3 linked regions of the Lonchura striata genome follow. The protein of the gene in region 2 interacts with the protein of the main gene of each other region in a pairwise test. Links are inferred from orthologs where the notes say so. Each region holds a gene or a part of one and is shown on either strand. Other genes may lie near its edges.

Region 1 (10,103 bases), on a different chromosome or scaffold from region 2:
TGTTGCAAGGAGCATATAAACCTCCCTCCTCTGTTGGGCAGAACTTTGTGCTGCAGTTTGGCTGAGCCCTGTTCCAGTCCTCCTCCCTGGATCTGGAAGAGAAGTAGAGGGAAAAAAAGCCATCTAAAGAACAACTTTATCCAAGACCTTTGCAAAGTCAGCTATTAGTATAGGTCAGCAGTGCTTTCAGCTGCTTGTTCAAGCCCAGTTAAAACATAAAATGAGCTGCCTTTTTAATAGCAGTTTCTGAGGAATGAGTTTTTTTTCCCAGCAGAGTTTTCCTAACATGTCAGCTAAGGTTCAGCTGCCATCTCTTTGCCCTGAAGCTCTGAAAACCTCTCAAGTTTTTGTCTTTTTGCTGAGTGTTGGAGGGATTGTCTGACTGGAGGAATCTCCTTTAGGAATTTAATCAGTCTGCATTTGTCAGTGGCATCCCAGTTGTTTTTCACCTAATTGTCTCTTGCTTCCCGAATCTGTTTCCTCAATTTCTGTTTCTTCTGGAAACACTTTCTCTTTCCTGTGCATGGTAGTGATGCTCACTCACACAGTGTATTTGTTGAGCATTTCCAGCATCTCCTAGGTGTCAGTTGTTACCCAATTACATTTCATTCTCTTTGCAGCTCCAGAAGTTTATCCAGTGGCTGGAGGAGGCAGAGGAGGAGTCGTCTGATGGCGACCAAGACTGACATGGTGGCTCAGCATGAGAAGAGGCTCTCACTGCCTTTCTGGGCCAAGTGGGCAGGGCAAGATCAATGCCAGTGCATGGTGTATAGATGTGGGGTCTGACATCAAAGTGACTGACAATCCCATCATTAATTCAGTTGTGTGTTCCCAACTTTGCCACTTTCCTCCCTCCCTCCCTCCCTCATTTGCACCTTGTGTTGCAACCCAGTATAAAAACTATAAGGGAAAAGCAGGAGGCAGTGATACCTAAAATCCCTCTGGAGCCTGGATATGATGTACTATAAGCTATCTTTTGGGAGGTTCTTGTTACTAATACAAAGGGAGAGAGTAGATGCAAATGCATACAATGCCCCTTTAGATCTAACCATCAGGGTTGTGGAAGAATGGTCATACAGCTAAGGTTTTTGGAGTCATTGTTGCTTCTGGAGCTAAAGGAACTCCTGCTGAAGAGACACCGGCAAGGTTGGTGTGTAAGAGCATGTGGATTAGGATCTGGAGTGAAGGACTAGAATTCAGGAGTTCTCATGCCTAAAGAAGATGCAGCTGTCTGAGGATGCCCAAGGCATTTTGCAGCCTAGAAGGCACTTCTGTGATCTTTCCAAAAGGGAAAATCTCTTGCCATCTGCCATGCTAGGATCTAACACAAATTGCACAGTGGAGTTGGTAAAACCATGTGTTTCCTGTGCTATAAAACTAGGGATGATGTTTTGCTCAGCTTCCCCACAGGGTTGGTTGATGGTGGATGGCTCTACGGATCACCATATCCTGCATGTGATCATTCTTCTGTGCCCCCAGCTTAGCAGACATGTTTTAGAGAAGTGTCTGTTTCTTATTTTTTTTAAGAAAAGGGTGCAGAGGTGCCTGGCTTCTCCTGCTGCACCAACTACACTTGTTTTGCCCTGGGGGCATTGACTGCACCAGCTGCTTTGAGGAGAATGCAAGTTACTAAGTTCTGCTCCAGTGTGAAAAGGAGCGAATGGTATTTCCTTCAGCAGCACGTCTGTGTATCCACATGATTTCAGTTACATAAGCTTGCTTACTTCATGGCCGTTTATTTATTTGAAAACTTCCCTCAGACAGCAGGAAAAGTGCTGCAAACCCACTGTGAGGCTCTGCAGCCACAGAACAGCTTGGCAGGCAGCAGGGAATAAGTGTGCCTCTGGCTCAGACAATGTGTGGCAGCAGCAAGGCCTTTAAGAGCAGCTAACTTGGAAGTGTCACTGTGCTGCATTCTGCCCTGCTCTCGAACAGGGTGAAAAGGGTACCGCAGCCATCAGCTTGTGTTCATGGGTGGGGTATTGGATCTGCTGACCTAGCCTCTGCCCCTTCAGGAGGAGCACGGAATAAATCCTTTGCAGGAGGAATTGCACTGGAGCTGCCCACTCAGGATATTTACTTGGCCGTTCCGTGGTGCCACAACTGTCAGTGAGGGGACAGCATTGGATGCTGGAGACCAGGGATACTGCCTCTAAAAAGCTGATGTTCAGGCAGGGCCATCTTGTGCACTCACACTATCAGTTGCCAGGACTGTGCATAAATGTCCTTGTTTTCTGACATTGCAAACTCAGTCTTGTAAATGTTGGGGAAATTGTTGGTATCTGAATTTTCTGTATCTGCCAATATTTAATTCAGGGAGCAAATAAAAACTATCCTGGTGTTACCAGCTTGTTTGCTTTTTTTTACTTGAAATTGTATGTCTCCAGTTTTACATGCCTGAGCAGGGCTTCATGTGTAAGTTAAATAACTCATCACTTGTTTTTCCTCAGATTTTAAGCACACAATAGCCAGGTAGGAAATCGGCACAGCATTTCATGAGTGAAAGTGTTTGATGGTAACTCATGAGCCCTGTTTGCAACTAGTGAGAACAATTCATTAAAATGTCTGAACTTGGAATCCTGAAGTGGGTGAGGTTTGGTTTTGTACAGAATTATGTTGCAAAGATGAACCTTAAATCCAAGGAAATCTCTTATCATTTGTCATTATGGGAATTGATGGGAATGTTGGCTGATACATCATGCATTGTGTCCTCCTGATGCTGGGAAATAAGAACCGGTAGAGAGGCAGGGAACTGGCAGAAGCAGCTACAAAGCCCTTAGTCAAACCATTTACAAACCAGCTGCAAGACTTAGTAATTTTAAAATCTCCTTGGAAGTCTCAAATATTTTTTTTTCCTTTTACAGAGTAAATATGGCTTAAGAATAAATTTAACGTGTAGTGCTGTAAATGGCTCAGTTTTGCCAGAAGTTCTTGATTATTTCTGCCAAGTAACAATTCCACTTTTGTTTTTTCCACATTCCTTCCTCCTTTGCTCCAACTTTGTGGTATGAGCTGCTTTTTACCTGAGAGTTAAAATCCAAGGGGAGAATGTTGCTTTATGGCCACATCCTTCAGGCACTGGTGGTGTGTGTAGTGGGGTAGTTTTACAGATGCCAAGAATAGAGTAGCAAAAAGAAAACTAATTAGAACACTTGATACTCTCCAAGGTGGAGTTCTGGCATGGTGAAGCATCCTTATGTACTGATACGTGCTGTACTTTTTAAAGGAGCATTTATTCCATTGCTGAAGTGTAGGGTGGGCTTGATGCTTTGTTGTTGCTTCAGTCAAGATGGTTCTTTGGTTAGAAGACTAGAAATGCCTTTGAGAGCAATCTTGAATGTGGAATCATTGCTACCCATCTCTGAGAAATGCAAGCAATTAAGTACTTTATTTTCCTAAGACTATAATAATCAACTTGTCTGCCTTCCCATCTGACAGGGAGGGGTGGATGGATGGATGGATGGAAGGAAGGAAGGAAGGAACCTGGTGTTCCTTTATCAAACCTACAACTTCAGTTAACAATAGTAACCCTTTTAAAAGAAGATAATAATTTGGATTTGCTTAAAGGTGTAAGTGATGGAACTCAAGTACATCCGCCTCTGCTTTGGGCTGTTCCAAGATGCACTAAAATGTCTGAAGCCTGTACTCTGTAAGGAGAAGCAATGTTATCGATGCTACAATTTTTAAGTTGCAATAATTGCAAAAATAAGCCAACAGGCAGTTCAGAAACTTCCTTGTGGACCTTGGAGTGCACAGCACAATCCCCTCCTGCTAATTTCTTTGGCACTGTGTTCTTAACTTCCATTCAGTGAGTCATACAGCACAAGGCCTCTGTGAGCAGTGAAACTGATCTATCATTGAGGCTATTCAGTCACTTGGCCTGTTTTAAAAGAAAAGGCAGCTGTAGCAATGAGATTTCATCTACTACTACCCTGGGGGTGTGGCACCCCTCCCCTGAGCTGCATGTGCTCCCTTGGGAGCTCGGCAGTACCAAAAATTGCCCTTTTGGTAACAAATGTGTCTGATGTGTACAATACAGGCTCCAAGGTGCACCCATGGCTGTGCTGCGAGGTGGATGAGACCTGGCAGTGGCCCTGCCAGGTACACACTAGGATTCTCTCATATGTGCCTGCTTTTGGGGCACGGAGGTGTTGCAAAAGGACTTTAAGATTAGCTCTGTCAGAGTTGACACAGGAAGAAGCAATTCAAACTAAACTTTTCCATTCCTGACCTGGATTCTTCATTCCAGGTACACCAGCTTTTACTACAGAGCTCTGGGCATAAGGAAATTACAATCTTCCAAGAGCTGATGTGGAAACATCAGAGTCTCAGACCTCTTACAACTTCTGTTTACCTGAGGACTTCCCTTGAATTTTTATTCTTTTTTCAGTTTAATGTCAGGTTCTTCCCCCAGTCTAGCAGTGCTGCCCAGGTAATTACTAGCAATGCCTGCAGGACTCTTTAATGCATTAGAAGGCTTATTTAGCTCTGCCTGCCTGAGGAACTTGGCTCTGTTCCCTGTAGGATCTCTCTGGCTCCTTTTCCTACGGCAGGGGAGTCTAGTCTGAGGGCTGATCTAGTCTCATGCCCTGTCTCATGCCCTGTGCAGGCCCGTGGTGTGGTGCTTCCTCTGCATGTTCCTTCTAATCCAGGATGGTGCAAGGCGGTTCTTGCCCTTCCTGTTGGTGGGTGTTCCCAAAACTCCATCCACCCCAGTTTTGCTCTTAGCCACAACTCTGGGAAACTGCTGATGGAGATGGTTCCTTGGTGCCTGCTGGGTGCTGGCAAGGTGTGCAGGGTGGAAACCAGACAACCTGAGACTGATGTGGAACAGAGGCAAGTCCTGGGGGCTGGGGTCACAGTGCTGATGATTATAGGTAAGAATTTGCTGGGGTCTGGGGAGACAGGATGGGAAGAAACCACACAGCCAAAGGGTGCCCAGTTGAAGAAGCCATGGTATATGGAAGAGAGGATTCTCATGAAGAGCAGAGGAAAGAGTCTGCTTGGTAAGGAAAAGGTCTGGGCACTGGGGTTAGTTGTTGGATGGTGACAAGGGGTTCAGAGGGAAGCCCTAGCTGGAGAGGAGCTCTGGGGTGTGTGGTAGTCTCTGTGTGTGGTGGCCATCTGAGACAGTATGGAGAATTCAAAGGGGTCTGTACCTGGGAGGATGGTGTAGAGATGGATATGCCTCATGTTTTGTAAGCTGTACTCATGGGGCACATAGCTGTAGAGGAGCATGGGGAAGGCTGAGAGGTGTGTGATAAAGGACCAGAGCTGCAGAGATAGAAGGGGAGGCCTGGGGTGTGGACAGAATCGGAGGTCGCGGGACACAGGAATGACCCTGTGTGTGAGGCACCATCAGAGCGTGTAAAGGGGGTGTGAAAGCTGAATGAGGGTGGGGAGCCTAGGAGAGGTGTATTCCCAGCTGGCACTGGGAATGTGGGTGCACGGGGAGTACCAGGCTGCGGATAGGAAGATGTGGATGTAAAGTATAAATGCCAACGCACCCAGGGGTGATGGGGCTGGAGGTGGGCAGTCCCGGGGCCGTGCACCCTCACGGGGCACGGCAGCACCGGGGCTGGATGGGTGTGTAGGGGCTCCGTCCCAGCGGCGGGGATCCGGCTCGGGGGCAGCGGGCGGGCCGGCACGGTGGCGGGCTCTGGGCCCCAACTCGCGGGCTGCCCGCTGAGCCCGGTGCCGTCCGCGCTGCTCCCGGGGCCGCTCCCGCGCCGCGGCCCCGCGGGGCGCCGGTTCCGGTTCCGGCGGGGCCGGGACGGCGGGCGGGGCGGGGCCGGCCGGGCCGAGCCTGCGCCGTGCAGCCGGGCGGCGCTGGGACCGGAGAACAAGGGGCGCGGGGGGACCGGGCGTGCGGAGGCCGCAGCCGGGCCGGGGCACGGGCGGGGGCCGGGCCGGGACCGGGGGTCCGGGCCGGGGCGGCGGAGGCGGCGGAGGCAGAGGCGGGGGCCTGGCGGCCGGGCAGGGCGCCATGGCGGCGGCCGAGACGAAGATCATTTACCACCTGGACGAGCAGGAGACGCCGTACCTGGTGAAGCTGCCGATCCCGGCCGAGCGCGTCACCCTCGGCGACTTCAAGGGGCTCCTCAACCGCCCCAACTACAAGTTCTACTTCAAGTCCATGGACGACGACTTCGGGTGAGCGCGGGCCCGGGCCCGGTCCCCCGGGGCCACGCGTGGAGCCCGGGCCCCGCGGGCCTCCCCGGGGAGCAGTGCGGGTGGCCGGGGAGCTCCCGCCCTCGCGGGGCCGGGCTGGGGCTGGCTGCCCCTCGGCCCCGGCAGCGCCCCGGGACGGCGGGGCCGGGACCCCCGGGATGGGGAGGCGCCGCTCGTGCCCGGCGCGGGGCCGGTGATCCCGATCCATCTTCCATCCCCGTTGCCTTTCCTTGGCGAGGATGGGGATGGTGACCCCCTTGGGCTCTCTCTGGAGGGACGCGCCCTCCGTGCACCCCAGGACCTCACCTGTGGGAGGCTGGAGGTGATACCCCCGTGCACATTCTCTGGGGTTCGTTGTCCCTGGGTGCTGCCTCCGGGGACAGCCGCACATCCTCGGATCCCGCATCTGCTCTGGGGAAGCTGCGCCATGCCAGCTCCTCAGTGAGGGAGCTGGTGATACCCTGCTTCAGGTGCCAGAGGCACCTTGGAGAAGACCATCATCCCCATCTGAGGGTCACTCCCTCCCGTACTCAGGATGTTTGGCCAACACCTTGCCTGAGGTGGTCTCACCCATGCAGCCCACACTGGGGTGTCGGGGATGGCATCCCCAGGTTATATCCTGCTCAGGACTGTCACTCCCCACCAAAAGGGCCTGGGCATCTCCCACTGTGCCTGCCTAGGGAAAGTGCCCCTTGCTCCCTCCTCCAGAAGGGTGAGCCACCTCCATCAGCCCTTTCCATGGAATGGAGTTGGGGACAGTTTTGTTTTCCTACCATCCATTTTGGGGAGGGACATCCATTTTGTCAGCTTTGTCCTCTGCGTCTAATTTTTGGGAAGAATGTGTAGAGAAGGCCAGCTTTGTCCTCCCCTACCTCCATGAAGAAGGAGTGAGAGCTCTCCATGTGCTGCCCATCTCTGAGCAGGAGGTGTATACAAGACTCACTGTACCCATGTACATGTCCCAGTCTCAAAGTGAGATGTCCCGTGCTCCATCTCTGGTATAGAAGAGGGGTGCAGCCCTGTCTTATATCCCATCTCCTGCAGGGCAACTCTCTTCCAACAGTGGTGTTTCCATCACTTCTTTTGTGATGCCCTTTGGTTCCTCCCATCGCAGGTGACTCATTGGAGGTGAGGAGGTATATTCTGTCTCTTGTTTGGATGTTGTACTTGCTTATCTTCTGGGCAGCCCCTGCTGTCTCCTACCTGCATAAAGTTGGTTAACGTTCTGGGGAGCAAATACCATGGGAAGCCAGCTCCCTGTAAGACCCTCTGTCCTCACTCTGTTTTGTCCAGATTTCCTACATCTGACTTTCCTTTAGCCACTCTTTTTCCATCCTGGGATTCTCTTGGTTTCTACAACATGTGACTCTTTACCATTTCTAGCACTTTGATGTTTGAAGGAGTGGTGTGATACTTCCTCCTCTGAAGATCTGGTGTTTAGAGTAGGTCTTATGCATGGAGCTGGGATTGCAAAGTGTTTTCAGTTTTATATTCTTCCCAGTGTCTTCTCACTGCACCAGATACCTCTCTGGGCTGTGATTTTGGCTTGTACCCCATGTTGAACAGGGCTTGGCCTGTTTGGGACTTGGATGAGATCTGTGTGGCTGCCTCAGCAGGGGGTGCTCTCCCCTCCTCAGCCAAATTATCCCCGTGCCCAGGTTCCCGTTAGTTTGGGAGGTGCCAGCTTTCAGATGAGGCTTGAAATTTGGAGTCACTCCTTTGACCGCAGTCTGAAACGCTTTGCTTCCCTAAATTCCTCCTGACCCAGTGGAGAGCTTTAGTTCTCAGAAGCTTCTCCATTCTCTCCTGGCAAATAGAAGTCTCCAGCCTTCATTTTCCATAAATTTCCTCAGCAATATCAGTTGTCTGTGGATCGTTTCCTGTCCCTCAGCTGTTTTATAGCGTTGGGTGCTATGAAACAGCTGCCTCTCCCTGTCTCGGAGGGGACCATGTTCATTGGGGGGAGAAGTGACTTCTCTGTGCATGCTGTTTGTAAACAAATGCTTTGGGATCCTTTGAAATGTTGTTCTTGAAGTGAATTCAAACTTGTCTTGAATGAAACATTGCCATGTGGGTGGGAGAGTGTGCAACTATAAACAAAGTTTAGTAATAAATAGCAGCGTCTTGCATTGGGAAGAGGGGTCTGGTGGCAGTGAAGTTTTGTGCTGTGTTTTTTCATCCTCCTCTATCTCTTTAAGGTTCTACAAGAGGAGCTAGATGATAGATTAACAAAACTCAACAGTAAAGCAGCATAGGGAGTTATAGTGGGTGATAGCAGGGAGAGGGGAAAGTCACTCAGGAAGACACCACAAGATCAGTTGCGTCAGAAATGTATGGATGAGATTTTTGTTGTGACCAGCCCAGCTAATTTCTTTGGGAAGCGTAAACCACTCTGGAAGGGAAGGCACAGCTGACAGGGGGTCAGGGCTGTGTGTAGGCAGCCTGTTCCTTGGGGAAGTCCTGGGCAATATAACTTGAGCAGTTGGAGCAGTGTGTGCAAGGCCTGGGGTGTGAGAGAGAGAGCAAGCCTTTGTCACCATGGATGCTTCATCAGGAAAGCTGTCTCTGCTGCTTTCCAGAGAGCTGAAGAATGTGCTGGTGGTTGGCTGGAACATGGTGGGAACAAGCAGAGCAGTCCAGCTGCAGCCTTGTCTCTGAGAAGCCCTGAAGCCCTGGGCAGCACACAAAGTTTCATGATCCCTGGTAATTGATGTCCATGAGAAAGTGAGCCATTGGCCTGCAGGGAGAATCAGAGACAGAAGGGCAGGAGGCACCTTGGCTGCTTGACTGCAAATGCATGGGCAATTAGTGAAAACTAGACTGGAGGTTAACAATGGTGGCATTCAGAAGCTGTGTGACAGGGAAAAGCATTTCTCTCTCACACATATATTCCTCTCAGCTCCTTCCCTGAGGGGATTCCCTCAGGGTGCCTTCTGTCTGGCTTGTGCTGGGCTGGTGTCTGTCAGCTGGGCAGTGTCCAGGAGTAGGACCCAGGTTAAAGCCCCCTCAATGAGAGAAGAAGTAGATGGCCTTAGGGCAGCTGATAAATGAGGAGGAGGCCTGCAGCTCCCATGGTTCTGATTTGGACCTTCTGCTGGATCCCTGTGGCATAAACCAAACTTTTCTTCTCATCTTATTAGGAACACAGACATCTCACCTTCCAGAGCCAGCTGGAGTAGAATCTCCAATGTTTCCTCTCACCTCTGTAGCCCAGTCTGAATCTTTCTCACTCTTCCTCCTTTTTTCCAGGCTGTGGATCTCCAGTCTGGTATTCCCTTCAGCTAACCCCATCCCCAAAGCAGTATTACAGCCTCAGTCTTGGTGTGTGGGATTTTTCATTCTTTTGTTTATCTTGTTAATATTTGTTTGCTCTGAGAATCAGAGTTGTGATGGAGCAGCTTCAGTGTTTACATCTCCTTGGAAATGTGAACTGAGGTTCCCCTGGGTGGCTGTGGAGTTGTCGGGCTATGGCAGGAGTTAGTGCTCAGCTTCAAATAATTAAGACCCCAGAGTGGTGTCACTTCTGGGTGGCAAAGAGAAGAAATGAGAAGAATTCCTGCACCTGGTCCTGGGGAGAGGAGTTGTGAGCAGCAGGAAGGCTGCAGGGTTTTGTTTCCTGATGCAGTGGGCTGCAGCTGTCCATAACAGGGTGCAGATATTTGTGCCCTTGTTGGCTTTGTGTGGTGCTTATCCCAGAAATGGAGGTACATGAAGGTTGGCTGATGGATGGTGTGAGTGTGGCAGTGCATGGATGTAGTAGACTCCTCTTGGACCTGAGATGCTCTGACCATGAAGCGTGGAACTACCCTTGGCTGCTAACACTGCACTCATTAGAGGGGGAAGGTTTCTTCCTGCAGCTTGAATCTTTTCATTCAATGTTTCACAGGTAAGAGCTGTGCGCTGATCAGCAGGAGAGCACCTTCGATAAGTGC
Region 2 (9,626 bases):
TGTTCAATCTCTGACTGTGCAGACACATGGAATTTATCCAGGGCCTTTTATCCAGCCTTCTCCTCTTTACTGCTGGAAATGGTGCTGAGATAAAGCCATATGCTGTGTGGAGTGGGGATGTTTCAAAGCTAAAGATCCCTCATTTCATGGCTGCTGGAGCTGGGGATCAATGGCCAAAGCCTCGTCCTGCTCTGGAAACCCTGAGTGCCACCTGGAACCTGCTGGGATTAAATGGCAAAGGGCTCCTCCTGCTCCCCTGAGCTGCAGTGGCTGAGCAGGATGTGAGAGCAAAGGCTTCCCAGGAATCTTTAGCACTTTATAACCAAGGACAAATTTTAATCTCTCTTCTGGGTTCTGACACCAGCACTTTATTGGCCTTCAAAGAAACTGCAGTCTTTTAAAAATAAATTATGCAGTGACACTGATAGAGGTGTCCATGCACAGAAGGCTGAAATGAGACCCTAAAAGCAGCAGTTTTTCATCTGCTCTCAGAGAAAGGATGTGTTAATATTGATCATTAACTTTTAGGCAAAGGCCAGCTTGAGCCTTCTGACAGCCCTGGACCAACAACAGCCATGGTGACCTGGGGGAGGCAGGATTAACTCTTTGAGTCAGGGAGAGGAACTGAAATGGGCCTAATCCCAGCCTAATGCTCGTTCCAGGGATTTGCTGCCATAATCTTCCTAAAATTTATGTCCTAAATCAGCCCAGCTTGCCAGGCTGACAGAGGCTGACAGCCCTGGCTGGCACCAGGCTGCCAAGGCATGGAGCCATGGAGCACCTGAGCTGGAAAGATCTGCCAGGACCACCCAGTGCAGCTCCTGTCCCTGCACAGACACCCCAAAATCCCACCCTGGGCACCCCTGGAGCACTGTCCAAACTCTCCTGCAGCTCTGGCAGCCTCGGGCTGTGCCCATTCCCTGGGGAGCCTGGGCAGTGCCAGCACCTCTGGGGAAAGAACCTTTCCTGATCTCCAGCCTGACCCTCCCCTGGCACAGCTCCAGCCCTTCCCTGGGTCCCTGGTACCTCAGCCAGGCCAGGCTTTCACTCCATTCATTTTCTTGAGGCTGTGGCTGGTGTTAAAGGCAGCTTTGGAAGGTCAGAGCTCCCTGAGCTCCCTGGACAATGGATTTGAGCACAGCTCAGCTGATACCATCAGCCATCTGATGCTGCTGGAGCAGAAATGGATTTTTAGAGCTTCCAGCCCTGCCAAATCAGGATCTGACTCTTCACCTTGAGGATATGCAAAGATTCCAGGTCAATAAAATGTATTTCAGAAGCCTCACCACCAGGAAAGAGCTTTTGGTGGTAGTCCTGCCTCTGGAACTCTTCCTGCCGGGATGCACACAGCTCCAAATCCCCCTGCCCCTGGCTCCAGCTTTGTGTGCAACACAGCATAGTCCAAGATGCCTCTTGGAATTGGAGCTTTTCAGGACACAGAGCCACATTTCCTTGCTCTGAATCCAATGAAGCCAGCCCTGCACAGAATGCCTCGCTGGCACTGCAGGACAGGAGCTGGCAGCCGGGACTGCCACCCCCTGCCACTGTGGCCTTTGGGCTGAGCAGCTTCCTCCCAGGCTGTGCCCAGGAGGGAAATGTGTGATTTATCTTTAAACTCCTCATCTCAGAGTGCGCTCATGGCACAGCCCAGGGATTTTCATTCTAGGCTACAAATTCAGCTCCTTCCTTCCTTCCTTCCTTCCTTCCTTCCTTCCTTCCTTCCTTCCTTCCTTCCTTCCTTCCTTCCTTCCTTCCTTCCTTCCTTCCTTCCTTCCTTCCTTCCTTCCTTCCTTCCTTCCTTCCTCCCTCCCTCCCTCCCTCCCTCCCTCCCTCGTTTCCTCCCTCGTTTCCTCCCTCGTTTCCTCCCTCGTTTCCTCCCTCGTTTCCTCCCTTGTTTCCTTCCGTCCTTCCTCATTTACTCCCTTTTTTCCTCGTTTCCTCTCTCCCTCACTTCCTTCCTCATTTCCTCCCTTTTTACCTTCCTCTTTTCTTCTCTTTTTTCCTCCCTCTCTCCCTTTTCCCCTTCCTCTTTTCCTCCCTTTCTCCCTTCCTTCCTGGATATTCAAGCAGCAGAGGATCTGTAATAAAATAACTCCTCCCAACCCCCAAATTTCCAGGGAATGCACAGCCAGGAGCGACTCAGAACACAGGAGGAGGGAACCAGCATCTCCTTTATATTTCTGCTGTTGCTCTGTGCAGCAGATTTGTAAGTAATTGCTTTTTAAACTAATTGTGTTGGACTTCAACTGAATCTACCTCGCTGTCTCCATAGGATAAGGTGCTCTCCTCCTCCGTGCAGGTGAGGGACACACCCCTGCTCTGTGCAGGCAGGAATGAGGTGAAGATTTTGGCTTTCTCTCTGTTCACACAGCTACACCACCCTGGAGGAGCGTGTGGAGGCACAGCAATGCCCAAGTGTTGTGTTTATCCACAGATGACTCGGCGCCGTTGCCAAAGGATCCAGATCCGCGTCATTTTTCCTGGCAAGAAGCTCTGGATCCTTTGTGAGCTGTTTCCAATTATTATATTAACTGGGAAAGTAAACAATGCCATGCTATTAGATAGAGCTGGCACAAAGAAATGCTGCTGCTCCCTCTCCAGACTTGGTTATTATTAAGAAATAAAAATATCAGCTTCAAATAGATCCTAATGCGGATTAAATGAACAGCGAGTTCTGTCTCAGCTGGAAAAATATAGCTGTGATTCCAGCTTAGTGGCACATTCGTGGAATCATGGAATGGTTTGGGTTGGGAGGAATCTTGGAGCTCATCCCCTTCCAGCCCCTGCCATGGGCAGGGACACCTGCCCCTGGCCCGGGTTGCTCCAGCCCCGAAATAAATCCCTTCCAATGGAAATGTCTGGAGCACACCGCCCTCATCAATCCAATTGCAGCGTGCTGTGAAACCTCCCAGTTCCTCAAATGTTTGTGCAATACTGTCTCTGGTGCTTGGCTTCTGCTTTACTGCAGGGAAAATGATGCTCTTTTGTGGCTCTCGGTTTTTAGGAATTTTCCCACTCCCTGCTTTTCTCTCTGAGCAGCCTCGAGCTGCCACAAGTTTCAGTTTTCCTTCTTTCCTTGCAGTTTTAATTCCTTTTGTGCTCCTGCCCTCAGGGGTTATTTCAGAGGTAATTCAAGAGCTGCTGTGTTGCCTGTAACTCATTTCTTTGTTGAGCCTGTTGAGCCACTTTCTCCCGAAGTTTACTCCACTGCCAGCCCTTCTGGGGCCGCTGCTGCTGCGTTTAACTCCTGGCTCTGCCTCTCCAGCTGTGACCCCAGGCCACTGGACAGGAGCAGGGGGAAGAGAAATGCTGAGATAAAAGGGAGAGGCATCCACACTTCCCTGCACGCCAAGGGCAGGCAGCTGCAGGGAAAGCTCTGCCAGACACAGGAAACCCAAAATTTCCACCCAAAATGCCAAGGGGGATGTGGATGAGACATCACTGAGTTCTGCCAGCTCCCTGGGATTTGGGGAATTATCTCCTTCTCATGCTGGGAGGTGGAAACACAGCTCGGGGAGCAGTTTGGGGTCCAAGTGGCAGCTCAGCCTGAGGCAGCTGGAAAATGGAATTTCTGGAGCTGCCCTGAGGGGTGGAGGGAGCTGCAGGGTCTGGGGTGGGATTTGACTTCTCCAAAGTGGGATCTTCTCAGCAGGACATGAGAGGGAAAATCTGTGCCCCAGCTGCTGGGTGTGTGTGGCTGTGGGAGAGGAGAATTGGGAACCAGAAAATCAAACAGTGTTTGGATTTTCAGCTTCCACCTGACTCTTTCCCAGCCTTCTGTGCTGGACAATAAAGAGTGTGTGTGACATAAATTCAAAGGTACAAGGTGTAAAAAAAGTCTGGCTTTTGTTCTGAAGGAATATTTGTTGAGAGTATGGATGCAGGATCTTCTGTTACTGCTATTGAGCAAGCCTGGAATCCTCTGATATGTAAATCAAGGTGAATATTTGACCCAAGGTGACTTTAAATTTAAAAGTAAAAGTTCTTGGTATTACCCTTGTAATAAAATTACCCTTTTTTCCCCCAAATAATTGAATTTTATTATTGATTTCTGTGTTACAAGCTCTCAATTGGGCATTAACCTTTTTCAAAGAGTTTAGCTGTGATGTTTTTTTGTCTGTTGAAACCTCTTTAAGATAAATTCAAATTTCAAATGCAAGACTTGACTGATATATTCCAGAATTCCTCTCTTGGTGGCAGTTTTGGTGGCTCAGGCAGAAACTGTTGCTGTGCTGGAGACATGACGTGATGCCTGGGGCTCATTGCATCCCCTTGGGTACAAATCCTTTGATTTTGGGACTCTGGGACATGAATACCCCAGGGCAGGCAGTGAGAGGAGGAGCAGAGAAGAGGAGCTGTTCCCTCCCCAGCCAACTAGATGTTGTATGGACCCAAAGATCAGGTTTGAGGCATCATTTGATCCTCAAATTTCTTAAAAAATAAATGTGTGAGTGTCTTTATGGAGTTTGTCATCTAAATGTAAAGCAAACTCTGCCTGAGCTTTAGGGCACAGGTTGGACTTGATGATCTTAGAGGTCTCTTCCAACCTCATTATTCTGGGATTCTGGGATTCTGTGATCTCTGGGAAGTTACTGGTTTAGCTCCCAGCGTCTGACTCTCTCCCCAGTAAACACAGACCTTTGGAGCTGCTGGTGCTGGCTGCAGGTGGCAGGTGACAAACACCTTCAGGAGGAGCTCTCAGTGTGCAGCTCTGCCTCACTGTTTGCAGCAGCAGCTCATGGAGCACTGGCCAGGACAATGTTTAATTAAAAGCCTCTCTTTGTGACCAGTTACTGGGTTAATAAAAGGTTTCACTCACGTTGTCCTGGCAACAGAAGTTTTTGGGAGGAGCAGAGCTTGGCGGGTAAGTGGCTTTGCCAGACAAGGTGCCAGTGGGGACAGCAGGGATGTGGTGGTGACGAGTCCAGAAATCCTTGGTCTGGCCAAGGAGGGACCAGAGTGGCCAGAAGGACCCTGCTGCAGCTTTCCAGGGGTGCTGGGCAACACCTCTGTGCTCCTCAAGTGCCACCCAGACCCTTTGTGTCACACCAGCCCCAGAGCTGGAGGAACTGTCCAGCCTGGGAATGGGGTGTGGAGCAGGTTCTGTGCCCAGGGCAGCCTGTGCTGTCCTGGGTGCTGGTGCCACCCCTGGGATGCTCTGCTGTGACAGCTCCCAGTGCTCCAGCAGGTCATTAACAAAAGCACAAACACCATCTGAGCACGCCTTGCTGTGCTGTGGGGCTGAGGGACCTGTGCAGCCTCAGCCCTGGCTCTCCACAATGCTCATTAGGTTTGTACAAGCTGCAAGAAGTCATCCTGCTGTACATAATTTTAATTGCCTGCTCCACAATTGCCTGTCAAATATATGCTCTGTCGCGTGGCATGACCTGCCTGCTAAATTGCAACAGGAATAAAAAAAAAAATACTACGGAAAGTAAAAGGGAAAAAAACCTAATTATGAACTAGAATGGCATTCTCAATCTCTATTGCCACCTGCAGCCTGCTGTGGCAGGACAGCACAAACAGATCAATAAAACCCGCAGCTTTTCTTCTGCGCCTTTGGCAGTTGTGAGGAGTTTGTGCGGTGTTTGTGGGAGCGCTCCGGTTCCTCCTCTCCGCTGTGTCTCAGCCTGGAGGTTTCACCGCTCGTTTTCATTGCCAAAATCCAGGGTTGGGACGCCCAACTCCGCGCCCGCAGAGAGGGCAGCAGCGAAAGGGTTAAAAGGAATGCTCTGGGCTGCAGCTTCCCCGCGTCTCGTGCGGAGGGCACGGATCGGAGTTTGGTAGGAGGTTCTTTGCCGGGAGCAGCCTTGGCAGCGAGCAGAGCTGTGATCTCAGAGGCCATGAGGCTCCGGGAGCGCCGGGGGCTGCGGGCTCGGGCTGCGGGCGGCGCCGCGTGTCCCGGCGGGCGCTGCCGCGGCCGCGCGTGGGACCGGAGCGAAGCCGCTCCCGTGCCGAGCGCCGAGCCCAGCCTCTCCTCCCACTGAGACTTTCCCAAAGAGCGGAGGCAGCGGAGGATGCGCGGGGGGCCATGAGCGCTCCCAGGGAGGATGGCCGCTGTCGCAGGGCCATCAGCATCCTCACCGAGCTGTGCCAGAAGAAAAGCCTGCCCGGCTTGGACCTGGACACCTGCAGGGAGTTCCTCCTGCTGCCTTCTGACCAGAGCCTGATTATCTCCGAGCCAGGTACGGCCCCTGCTCCCGTCTGCCGGAGGATGCTCGTGGAAGGCAGGAGGGGCATCCGTGCCCTACAGGGGAGGAAAAGGTTTGGGAGACCCGTGTTAGACCCTCTGGGAGGGTTCCTTCCCTTCCCACATGTTCCACGGTGAAGTTTTGGGTCAAGTCCTGCCTCACCTGTTGATGGCTGCACGGGGGGACAGCCAGGATAAAGTTCCTGAGATAAAGTTCCTGTGAAAGATCCTTTTCCAAAAACACAGACTCCTGTCCTGTATGAAACAAGAGCAAACCAACAAAAAGCAGTAGAGAGCCTGCTTGAGCCGCTGGGATGGCAGGAACTGATTGGTGTTGGAGAAATGGAGGGAATCACACGGACTGCGTGGATTTCTGTTCATCAGGAAGGGACCTTGGTGTACTTCCATGTGTGTGTTCTACCTTCCCTAAGGATTGCCTGAGTTGTTCCTGGTCGGGCTGTAGAGCCAGGGAGGGACTCTGGTGTGTCAGGGATGAGTCAGGAGCAGGAATTCTGCTCCAGGAGCAAAGGGACAGCTCCGTGTTGCAAAGTGGGGAATTTTCCCAACACCTATTCTCCCAGCTGCTCACTCCAGAGAGATCTCCTGCTGCCACTTCAGATGACATTGGCAGGGGCAGTTGGAACCCAGGCTCATGTGCTGAGGAGCAACACCCCAAATCTCACAGCTTTTAGAATTGTTAGTAACCTGCTCAAAGTTGTTTGTTTGTGTATTCCAACATTTTCATAGAGGGTTTCTTCTAAGGTTCCTAAGTTTCCTCTAAGGCAAGGATCTGTGGAATTCCAGCGTTTTTACACCATGAATTTTCACAAACTCTCCTCCTCTGCTGAGCACACTGTGCAGAGCCCCCGTGCGGCACAGCTGCCCATCAATCCCTGTCCAGGGCTTTCTGTGTCACCTTCCCTCCCTCTCTCCTTCCCCTCTCTGCCAGGATCTCATGCTGGGATGCAGCTGGCACCCCCAGGGCACAGGGCACCAGGATTCTGCCAGCCCTTGGTTTGCAGTGGTGCTTCCAGCACGGCTTTGCTGATAGCTCCAGGCAAACACCCTCCCTCCACATCCCACTTTGCCTGTAACTTAATTCTCTTCTTCAAATGAGTTTGTTTTAAAGCTGCCTGTTCTGGAGGCCTCTTACCATGGCCGGTTGTGTCCTTACACATCACATCCCATGCAGCTATTGCAAATAGAGCAAACAGCTTGCAAACTTATTGCATCGATTTGGAATTCTTTACCTTGCACCAAAATGAACATTTTCCTGAGTCTGCAGCAGAAATACTCCTCACTGCTCTTGTTCTGTATAGATATGACAGGTCTGCATTTGTTTGCACAGCCTGTCCAGGACCTCATGTTCATGTCGGGATCACATCATCATCATCATCATCATCATCATCATCATCATCATCATCAGCCTTTAGCACAGGGAATGTCTGTGTGCTCTGAGCTGTGGTCAGCCCCAGTGCCCCGGGCGAGCTGTGCTGGGCTGGCTGCACGAGCAGCCAGGGCTGTTGTCTCTGCTCTGCATGACTGGGCCCATTTTTATGTCTAGACAGCACAGAGGACACAGTTTGGGCCTGACATGTACTAATATTTCTCAGTTCCTGCCTGTAAAGCTGCTCCAGCAAGGGGAAAAAATCTGTTTGCATCAAGTGTTTACTACCACAGTCACAGAGGTACGATGCCTTCCCCATCAGCGTCTGGATGTTGATTTAATTATCTGCACTGATGCTTTGTCCATTTTATCCCGAGGTCTCACGTGGAGCAGATTTGCTGTGGTCTGGCTGCAGTCCTGTGTTCAGAGCCATCCTCACAAAGCAGGCAGGGGGAAGGTGGGGCTGTGTGGAGGTGAGCAGATGGCAGCAGGCAGGTGCTGTGTCAGGAGCAGGGCAGAGGAGCCCTGCCCTGCTGGAGTGTCCCTGTGCGGGCAGCACAGCCCCGGCAGCCAAACGCCAAATTTGCTGGAGTCAAACTGGCCTCATTTGTCATCATCATGTGGAGTCTCCGGCTTCTCGGGCAGTTTGTTGCCTCCTGGATAAATCTATTTAGTACTGGCTGGATCAGCTTGGCTTGTGGAGTGTCCTGCTGGAGTTCAGGTTGAAGGAAGCACTGCCAAAGGTGCTCCTGCACAGCTCAGCACAGGGGCAGCTTGGTCTTTTCTGCTGTTTCATGCGTGGATGGGGAGCAGTATCCTCAGGGAATGTGTGGAGCCAGGTATCATCACCCTTCCTGAACTGCATCCAAGAGTGGAAAAAACCTGTGAATATAACAATACTACTGTATAGTTTATGTAAGAGTAAGTTTCTGTGCGGTGTTAATTTTTTTTTTCAACCATTCTGGACTGAGTGGCTGAAAGGGCTGCTGTGGATGGAGTGGATGCACCTCTACTCCCTGGTTATGTAACAGCTGAATCTCCTCCTCACAGCCAAGAAGAGCAGCCGAGCTGCAGCATTTCTCTGTGCACACCCAGCAGAGGAGGACTGCAGGCTGCTGCCTCGCCCGCAGCCAAACCAGTCAGAAAAATCAGGAGTTTGGCTGGGGAAGGGAGGTTTTGGTGCCGCTGTCAGGGGGGCTGTGAGGGGGAGCTGTGCCTGTGGCGGTGCCAGGAATAGAACTGATCTCCTGGCTGGCCCGAGATGGAGCGAGCTGCAGCATCCTTTTGTCGTGCCTGTCGCCAGTCCTCCCCTGGAGCTGCCTCCATCTGATCCCTCTGCTCCCTGCCAGGCCTCAGCTGCCGGGCAGGGATGCTGGCAGTGCCACCCGGGCTCTGGGGACAGCACTGGCCACAGGTGATGGCCTTTGAGAGGATGGACTCATCCCTTCTGTGCCCTGGAGGGGCAGTGAGAGCTCTGGGGTGTCACTGAGAGGGTTTGAGGTGCAGCTGTGCTGAAGGTGAAGTGTTTGGCTGTGGGGCAGGGGAGTCAGCACCCCCCAGGACCGTGGGGACAGTGATGTGTCCCCTGTGCTTGTCCCCTCTGCCCGTGGGAGTGGAGCTGCAGCAGGCTCTGGGCTCTGGGACACGGGGTGCTGGGCAGCCCAGGAGCTGGGCTTCATGTCCTGCTGGGGGGGTTCTGGGGTTCCCCTGGGCTGGGTGCTGCTCCCCGTGGTTCACAGAGCCTGGCCAAGGACAGAGGCTGCCAGCCTGTCCCAGGAGATCCTGGGGGAGACAGGGGAAGCTTGGCTGGTTCTGAAATGATCCTGCAGGGCTGATGAGAGTTACTAAATAGAGTGAGTTTGATGGGATATTGGGAAGGAATTCTGTCCTGGGAGGGTGGGGAGGCCCTGGCAGAGGGTGCCCAGAGCAGCTGTGGCTGTCCCTGGATCCCTGGAAGTGTCCAAGGCCAGGCTGGCTGAGGCTTGGAGCAGCCTGGGGCAATGGAATGTGTCCCTGCCATGGCAGGGATGGCACTGGATGATCTTCAAG
Region 3 (9,631 bases), on a different chromosome or scaffold from region 2:
TACACAGAGGCCTATGTCTCGTTCCTGGCCTTGTGACAGAATTTAGACAGTAAAACACTTAGAATCAGATTGCTTCACAAGAAAGAATGAATTGAATTTTTGCAGGTATCAAATATCTAAGAGCTTTAAAGAGCTAGCATCTGATAACAAATGATTCCTGCAGGAGTCTGGTGTTGATTTATTCCAAAATATGTGTCTACCTGCAGTCATTGGCATCAAGCTGCTTCTTGAAAATACCAGGATATAGCATATGACGCCAAATAATTTTTTACCATTTTTTTGTCCAAGGTGCTTCCAGAGAGGTATCTCCTCATGTGCAGTTAAAAAAAAAAAAAAAAAAAAAAAAAAAGCCAGGACCAAAATAAATTCAGACAGAATGCAAACACATTGTGTAAAGAAATATCTGAAAGTAAGGCACATTTTTTGAGACACTGATGCAGAATTTTCTTTTTACCTCTCAGAAAACTTCTATAATGACCACCATAATTTAATAGTAAATTCTGAAGTGCTTCCAGCCACATCTGCTGTTTCCATGCAGTGCCTTGAACAGGGTGGAATAGGACAGCACCTCAACTTGTAACATAAAATTTATCCCAATTTCCAGGTTCAAAGATAGTGGCTTCTCTGGAGAGAGTCTGGGCATGTCATGCTTTGATCCCTCAATAAGTTCAGAGGAAAAGCGGTAAAAGGCAAGGAAACATTTTGTTCAATAGCCAAGTCCACCTTATTCCCATTGTATTGCAAAATCTACTCCACCCCATTTCAAAGCAGACATTTCAGTCTACTCCACCCCATTTCTGCACTTTCAAGTGCACAGACTCTGATTTAATCCTGGAACAGACTCATGCACCTATCATGAGAGATATATAAATGCAAAGCTTACAATAGTGCTCTCACTACACTATAATGTCATATGTGTTCAGATATAAATATAATAGAATTTTAAAAAAATATGAATCAGGAGAAACATACAGATAATCCGTATTCCAAAATTCTAAATTTTGGTCACTGCATGGTTTTTTATGATTGAGCCAATATCCAGCAAAATTAGATTTAGTGTTCTTGCTTCTTATGAAATTACACAGAGGCTGCTGCTTTATTCCTCTCCAGGACAGTAAAAAGCAATAAAATTCTTGCAGATTTCGACAGCAGGCAATTCAATAAAAGGCTATGTATATTTTATAAGTACAATAAAAACAAGTCTATAGCTGGATCATAAATGGAGGTTTGTTTGGTTGGTTTGTTTTCTGCACACAATCAATGTTGGGGTCTATTTTCAGCACAGGATGGTCTTCTTAGCACACAGCCGTCCCGTTTTGGGGAGAAGCAGAATGAAATTTATATTTTTATAATGTATTACTTAAGCTTTGCTCAAGGGATTTTGCAATGTGTGTCTGTTTAAAATTTAAAGGTGTTGTGGAACTGAATACTTTCCTATTCTTGATGAGTGCTATAAAATTTTACAATTCTTTTTGTTACACTTTAAAGTGTATCTGTCTTATCATTGTGGCATTCCCTTTTTTATGAGCAAACAATAAATATTTGATATGCACAAAATTATTTCCTAGACTTCCGTCAATGCTCACTGGTTTTTTAATTCTTCAATAATATAATGGGGCGATTAATAGATTGCTGTATTTCTGAGCAGTAGTATTACAATGCATTTAGTGACAGTGTCTGTCTGCTGAAATAGAAAATTTTATACAAATGTAAAACCGAAACTAACAACATACAAATGACCCACCCTACATAATTACAGCTGTATCAATTTTTTCTTCTCTCTTAGAGAAAGAAATTTTAAAACTCTGAAGAAGCTGATTAAAGAAAAAAATACCCTCCCGATTTGTCTCTGAGACAAGTTCTCCAGCACTAAAAATCAGTGCGAGGTTTATCTGAGCAGGGTCTGTGGTGTCGAACCTCAAGTTTTCTGGAGAAGAAAACTTTTCTATGTAACTACACAGAATCCACAAGTACCAATTTGCCCTTCTGAGTAGTTTGGTAGTTAAAGTCTGACTCATACAGCAAAGTATAGCCAGTGTTATATTACTAGATGTACCAAGAATACAAAGTTTCAGAAATATATTAACATTATAGGACAGAACTAAAGACTTTTTTCATCATCAGAGTGAAGATAAAGCACTGTCGTCCTCATAAAACTGTATAATCTTGCCATGCAAGAATTATAGAGACCTTTTGTTTACAAACACAAGGTGATGCAGACCATCTCCATCTCAAAATCCAAACAAGTATGCTTTGGAGAGACACCTGTGTCAGCCTATCAAATGTCAAGATTCCCTTCCAGCTCACTTATTAAAACACAGTATTTCTTGCTATAACAGAAAAGGTATGAAACCCACTGCCTTAAAAATAAATTATTTAAATGAAACACAGCAGGGAGTAGAGAGGAGTCAAAAAACATACTATAATAAGAAAAGGATTCAAGGGAGGAAAAATATAGTCTCTAAGCTTAGCTGAATGATCATTCATGAATTTGACCCAAACTTCCAAACCTCAGCAAAAAGTAAAACATACAAATACTAGTTAATGCTGTTTCCATTTGCTTCCTTTGTAAAACATAAATTTTGATTTAACAAACTACTCTTGACTCTGCAGCCCTGCTCCTGCAGTCAGTGTTATCACATGAAGACTGCAGAACTGATCACATGAAGGAAATCCAAAATGCTTTTCATGCCACACTCCTGTTTAATTATAACTGGTAATGTGGCAGATCTTAATTTTAAAAACATGATTTTTTTCCCTGAAGAAAATGCTGGAAAGAAGAAAAATATAGCAAAAGTAGCTGTTAATTCCCCAAATCCTGAAAAGTAAGCCTTTACAGGAGCTCACAGCACAAAAGTTTCAATGCTAATTTGAAAGTGCTCTCTATCTCTTAGCCATATAAATTTTTTTTTTTGTATTTCAAATAATAATAACTATTATTATTATTATCTGACTCACACCACAATGCCCTTCTCCCGCCTATTCCATCTACTAAGTGTGCTGCAGCCAGCTGCCATGTCTTGTATCCCTTTTTCCACAAATATTTGTGCAGGAACATCCTTTGTTTATTCATTACTCAGCCCTGTGGGATCTTGGCTCTTAACGGGGACTGCCAGTGCTAATTCAATATAAATTCTGAGCCAATATAATATTCCAAATCTTGCACTGACAGCGTTATGAAAAAGAGCAAGTTTGTATCTATTCTGTAAACTTGAAGAAAATTCAAGACTTCATGACTGACAAAGGATCAGGTGGGATAGAAGACAATGCTTTATTATTAATCCTGTTTAAGATAGATACTGTATCACATAAATGCAAAAATCCATCTTAGCAAAGAATTTAGGTACTTCCAAGATTATGAGAGAGAAAATGAGGGTTTGGTTTGTAATTCTCCACCATGATCTCAGAATTCTGCTCCATAGTTCAGAGCTGTACCAGATGATTCCCCTTGCAGTTGTCTTCTGTTAGGCACAGCAGAGACAGAGGCCATTTCAGTGAGAGGAGGGGAGAGGAGTCTGGCAGGTGAAGAATCATCAGCACCATTTTAGCAGAGAAGGTACAGGAGCTTTCAAGACTCTCACTGAGATCCCAGTTTGCAGTATGAACTTGACATTAGTTGGGATATCTTCAAAACTGAGATACGCTGTTGTGGGCTTCCTACTGGGAAGTAGGAAGCTATGTGCTGTCATAGCCAGAGGATGAAACTTGCCGAGTCAGGTATAAGCTGTGTGTGTTTTTTGACTCTATACAGAAATCTCTCATTCAAAAAGTGGAGTATATGGTTTCTTTCCTATCCAAATGCTTAGGAAAGCTACCTGGCTGACCAAGCAAGATGCAGAGTTAATAGTTTGGTTGTTTAGAGAGAATATCCACAATACCCCCCTACAAAAGTGGTTTGTGCAATCAGTTGTGGTGAAAGTCAGATGACCCTTGTGAACAGCTTCCCCACCAGCAGGGAATACTTAATTCCCTACAACCTGGAGCAACTGAAGCCTTGCTCTTGTCTCCTGAACATGCAACAAGGGCTGCGCTGTTTATGCCACTGGGGCTAGAGCTGAGTTCTCTTCTGTTGTGAGTTGATTTTACATCTACTCAATAAATCATTGTTCACTTTTTGTAACACTTTGCACTTCTAACTATGAAACCACAATGTTCTCCACACAGGCCAAAATATATGCTTTGGTTGGCTGCGTGCTATTTCATCTCTCAAAACTTCCTTGCCCTACTGCTTATCATTCTTAGGTAGTGCTTTATTTGGTCATGTACTCTCATAAAGCCTATAGAGACAACTACACAATTGTGTTATGTTAAACATCATCCTTCTATTTTCCCATTTCTGTATTACAGTTTTTATTAGGATTCCAGTCCTATTAATGTAGGAAGGATATGTACTTAATATGAGAATGTGCACTATCAGACTTGGCAAGAGACCAAATTTTGTTCAGATGTATCACTTGCTAAAGCAGGGATGGTTTCTATCTAAAAATCCTTCAGCTCCCATGGAACAGCTTGCTCTCCTTCCTGCCCCAGGGTTTAGCACGTTCTCTTGCTCCAGTTCAGCCACAGGAAATCTCTATGGCTTTTACTCAGGTGAGATTTTCAGGGGCACGAGCTGAGAGTCGGGACAGCTCCGCTACAAAACCTCATGCTCCGGTTCAGAGCTTTGCCGAGGCTGTTGCCACTGCCCATGTGTGCGCAGGGCCGTGCCCAGGTGTGCCCAGGTGTGCCCAGGTGTGCCCAGGTGCGCCCAGGTGTGACACAGAGACATCCCGGGCTGCATCGGCGGCTCTCAACCAACCGGGAGGGCCGGTCTAGTTGAAGTCTTTGTGATGCATTTAAAAACTGAAACATTCTCATCTGTTTTCTTTAAAAAACATTAAAGTCTAAGCATAACTAATACTAATTTTTTTGTCAATTTATTTTCCGCAGAAAGGGGTGGGTTTCGGGCCGGGCCGGCAGGGCTGGCCCGGGGGGGAGTGGCGCCCCCTGCGGGCCGCAGGGGGGCGGGACAGCTGTGCGCGGCTCGGGCTCCGGCGCGGGTGTGCTGGGTGCGGGCCTTGGAGCGGCTGGACTGCAGGACAAGCCCCGTGCCCCAGCACATCAGGATCTGTGCGGGGGACAGCGGGCTCCAGATGTACTGTCTGGTGGCGCCCCCCCGGCAGTGCTCACAGTAGCGCTGGGTAGCAGCTGCAAGGGGCAGCAGGCGCAAAGGGAGGGGACAGGACAGGACGAAACGGGACGGGACGGGACGGGACAGCTCGGCCCAGGGGGTTTGGGATGCAAATCGTTCCTGCTGAGCGCTCCGATGAAACAGCTCCGCTCCCACGCGGTGCCAGCAGGGGGCGCCGCCGCCGCCCCGGTGGAGCGCCCTGCGGGCGGGAGCGGGGGGGGCAGGGGGGGCGCGGCCGGCGCGCGTCACGTGACAGGGACGCGGAAGTGCCTGCAGGAAGGGGGGGCCGCTGCTTCCGGTGTGGACCGGGGCGGGCGCGGGCAGGGCCGGGGCCGGGGCCGGGGCCGCACCGACAGCGGCCCGCTATGAGAGAGGCGCCGCGAGCCGCAGGTGAGGCGCTGCCGCTCGTGCTGCCGCCGGGCCCGGCCCGCGGGCCCGCGCCGGGGCGCGGCGGGCGCGAGGCCTTCCCGCGGGCGCAGGCCCGGGCCCCGCGCTCCACGGGCCGGGCCGGGGTCCCGGGGGCCGAGCACCGGGCCCGCTCCAGCTGAGCCTGCCGGCCGCGGGAGACGCCGGGGCTGTCGGTTCCCGGCTGCAGTTATCCCCGGCATGCCAGGAGGCCGAGAGATCGCGGTCCGCAGGCCGCGCCGGGGACGGGAGGGACTCCTTGCGAGCCATGCTAGAGCTCACGGCATTTTAAAGCAGCCTAAATGTGGCTTATATCTTTTGCTCAAGGCTTTAGCGTGCAGATTGTTTTTCTAATTGTTATTAATTGAAGTAGAAAGACTTTGTTCTTTTATGAGTTTGGAGTAAAAGTACAGAACAAAACAGATTGTAGAAGGAGGCAGTGAAATCCCTTTTGAAAACTGGTTTGCTTGAATTCTGTGGCTTTGCTAATTGAAAATATTTTACTTACATTTTATCGGCATGACGACTTAAAATACAAAAAAGTCTCCTGTCATCTGGAAATGTTTTTGTGGTGACATGCTGACTCCCTGCTGAAAGATGGCACTTTAGATTATCAGTAATTGTATATAAATTCTATAGACATCTGTCTTTAAACTTCAGTTGAATGTCTTCTGAAGGCTTGTTTTTATTGTAGGCATATATTGAAAAATAGAATCTTAAATCTGAGAATATTCTGAAGGGAGGTAAGGAACTGCGTCTGTATAAGAAAATCCGATTGTTTCAAAAAGTGGATGTAATACACACAAGGTATAAGATTATTTGAAATACTTTAATAGTTATGTCAAATTGTTTTAAGCAAAGTGGTAAGAAAAACTAATAATTGAACTGGTGCAGTATTCCGTTGCTCCCTGGAAAAGTATTGGTAACTGATTCAGTTCTGAAGAGGGTTGGTGGAAAAGAACCTGAGGAGTGCTGAAGACAGTAAATTTAAAGGTGGTCTTCTGTAATTATATGAGTGGCAACTTCATGGAACTTGACTATGGAAAGCACTTGCTGCTCCATGGCTCTTCAGATTCCCACAGCACTCAATTTACACATTATCAAATAGAAAAATTGCACAAGTTAAACTTAACTCAAGCAGTTAATGTTGGTTTTTCATAGTGGCATTTAAATTTCTGACATTTTTAATTACAACAGCATGCAAATTTTTCTCAAATTCAATTTAAAATTTCAAGTATGCATTTGAAAAAGCTGTATTACTGCTAAAAGGGCTGTTAACCTTTTTGTAAGACATCTGGATTGTGTGAAAATACAGATGTGAAAATCTGGGAGCTCTTAGCTGAGATTCTGTCATGTAATTGTTACGTTGTTACAAATGCATGAGGAGCAAGCAGGAAAAGTTCTGTGCAGCAAAGGCATCAACTCTGTCTGATTTCCCCAAAAGGAACATCCTAACCCAAATATAATAAGCTTGGAATTAAAAATTGTACAAGTTGTTGTTATTCCACCTTTCACTTAGTGAAACATTAGGGAAATACATGAGAAGGATCATAAGCCTTATTCTTAGTGGGGTTCTGCCTGTGCTTCCAGCGTCATCCTGTGAGTTGATACAGTTGCTTTTGAGAAATTGATCTGAAGTGAAATATTTCATGAGTAAAATTAGTGTTTGTTGGGAGATAAATGAGATGATTTTGCTAGCATTTGAAATACAAAATCTTTAATATGTTTGTATAAACTGTGAAACATCCTGGAGTTAGAACTCTACCATATAATTCCATGAAAAAACGGTTTCATTAGCCTAAACTCGTGTTTGAAATGCTTAGTCTATCCCAATTGCATAACTTACTGTTGGTAGCTCCTGCTGTAGTTCATGAGTCCTCTTGAAGAGAAGAAACACAGCAAAATATGCTGGCATAGCAATTTATGGCCTTAGTACAGCTTTCAGAAGAGAGAAATGAGGTGGCTTGAGAGAAATACAACAGTGGCAAAAGGTTGAGTTCCATGTGAGTCTGTTAAGAAAAAAAGAAAAAAACTTAGAAGAAAATGGAATGGTCAATACTTGACCAAGCAGAGTTTCTAATTTTATTTCTTATTTTTATTTCATATTTTTTTCCTGCAGCACAACACTAAATTTGTAATGAAATGGAGTCTGGGTCAAGCTCCTTTCGAGTGGAATTTCCAGATTTTTCTAGCACCATTTTGCAGAAGTTAAACCAACAGCGCCAGCAAGGACAATTATGTGATGTGTCCATTGTGGTTCAAGGCCATCTCTTCAGAGCCCATAAAGCTGTTCTTGCAGCTAGTTCACCTTACTTCTGTGATCAGGTTCTCCTGAAAAACAGTAGGCGAATAGTCCTGCCTGATGTGATGAATCCCAGAGTATTTGAAAACATTCTTCTGTCTACCTATACAGGCCGGCTGGTAATGCCTGCGCCAGAAATTGTTAGTTATTTGACAGCAGCAAGTTTCCTTCAGATGTGGCATGTAGTGGATAAGTGCACTGAAGTGCTTGAGGGAAACCCAACAGTTCTGTGTCAGAAGATGAATCATGGCAGTGACCATCAGTCCCCAAGCAGTAGTAGCTACAATGGCCTTGTTGAAACTTTTGAACTTGGCTCTGGAGGACAGACAGAATTCCACAAAGTGCAGGAACTAAGGGATGGTGAAAATGAAGAAGAGAGTTCTAAAGATGAACTGTCGTGCCAGCTGACAGAACATGAGTATCTTCCCAGTAATTCTTCAACAGAACACGATAGACTTAGCACTGGAATGACCAGTCAGGATGGGGAAGAGGGAACTAGTGATAGTGCAGAGTACCAGTATACCAGACCAATGTATAGCAAACCCAGCATCATGTCTCACAAGCGGTGGATCCATGTGAAACCAGAAAGGTTTGAGCAAGACTGTGAAGGCGTTGATAATCCTTATGATGAACACCAAGTTTCTGAATCCATGAATACCATCCAGGCAGATCACTCAATCCAGTCTTCAGGTGTTGAAGATTTTCACATAGGTGACAAAAAGATGGAAGCAGAATTTGATGAACAGGCAGATGAAGGTAATTATGATGAACAAGTTGACTTCTATGGGTCGTCTATGGAAGAATTTTCTGGTGAAAGGGCAGATGGAAATTTGACTGCTCACAGACAGGATCTTATGATGGCAGCGGGCTATGGTGAAAGCATTGATATGGCTGCTGGGATTAAAGAAGAAACGTCTCTTACTGGATTCTCCCATGCTGATAAGCTCTATCCTTGTCAGTGTGGAAAAAGCTTTACACACAAAAGTCAGAGAGATCGGCATATGAGTATGCACCTTGGTCTTCGACCTTATGGCTGTGGTGTCTGTGGTAAGAAATTCAAAATGAAACACCATCTTGTAGGCCATATGAAAATTCATACAGGCATAAAACCGTATGAGTGTAACATCTGTGGGAAAAGATTTATGTGGCGGGACAGTTTTCATCGGCATGTGACCTCCTGTACCAAGTCCTATCAGGCTTCTAAAGCTGAGCAAAGTACTACTGAGATGAACTGAGACATTAGTGCTTACATTTGTTTAATAGAGTAAGAAAAATAAACTAAATATGCAAATAATGTCTGGTACTTGCTAGTGTACACTCTCAAAAAAAAAAGTTTTTATAAGTATGCTGGTATGAACAGATCAAATGTGTTTTGCTTCCTGCAATATTACTTCAGGTGTTTATTGTGGGAAGTGCATGTGGTTAATCTGAAAGGTGCCTGCAAAATGAGGTCTGAGATTGATTGTAACCACAGCAGTATTTAGAAGCCTTCTTGTATTTCCAAGTAATCTGAATTCACAGTAAAACTCTAAATTGACAAAAATCCTGAAAATACTTAGATTAATGAGAAATTTAGGTAGTTACTCCTTAATGGAAAAGAAAACTAAGATGACCAAACTGGAGTATATGATTCACATTTAAATGAAGAAAAAAGAATTCCATCTCAAGGTGAAGACTGCCAACATACTTAACATGCATCATTAGGTAGTGTGCCTCATTCAGTAGCCTTTGTTGTATTGCTTAATGAAAGGTAG

What was found.
Region 1: the proteins of SYT6 (region 2) and DVL3 interact in binary tests that used the Homo sapiens proteins (3 or more experiments, as listed by UniProt). The two-hybrid records come from large-scale screens. The link is inferred for Lonchura striata from reciprocal best matches to the Homo sapiens genes SYT6 and DVL3.
Region 3: the proteins of SYT6 (region 2) and ZBTB43 interact in binary tests that used the Homo sapiens proteins (3 or more experiments, as listed by UniProt). The two-hybrid records come from large-scale screens. The link is inferred for Lonchura striata from reciprocal best matches to the Homo sapiens genes SYT6 and ZBTB43.

The regions. Positions count from the first base shown.
Region 1 is NC_134612.1:18,724,178-18,734,280, forward strand, and holds the start of DVL3 (segment polarity protein dishevelled homolog DVL-3), read left to right. Parts: upstream 1-5,923; 5' UTR 5,924-5,986; coding exon 5,987-6,153; intron 6,154-10,103. Other genes in the region: EIF2B5 (translation initiation factor eIF2B subunit epsilon), read left to right, coding at 621-686. UniProt on the Homo sapiens protein: Involved in the signal transduction pathway mediated by multiple Wnt genes.
Region 2 is NC_134632.1:2,058,727-2,068,352, forward strand, and holds the start of SYT6 (synaptotagmin-6), read left to right. Parts: upstream 1-5,777; 5' UTR 5,778-6,031; coding exon 6,032-6,185; intron 6,186-9,626.
Region 3 is NC_134624.1:11,323,208-11,332,838, forward strand, and holds the start of ZBTB43 (zinc finger and BTB domain-containing protein 43), read left to right. Parts: upstream 1-5,451; 5' UTR 5,452-5,560; intron 5,561-7,694; 5' UTR 7,695-7,717; coding exon 7,718-9,112; 3' UTR 9,113-9,631. UniProt on the Homo sapiens protein: May be involved in transcriptional regulation.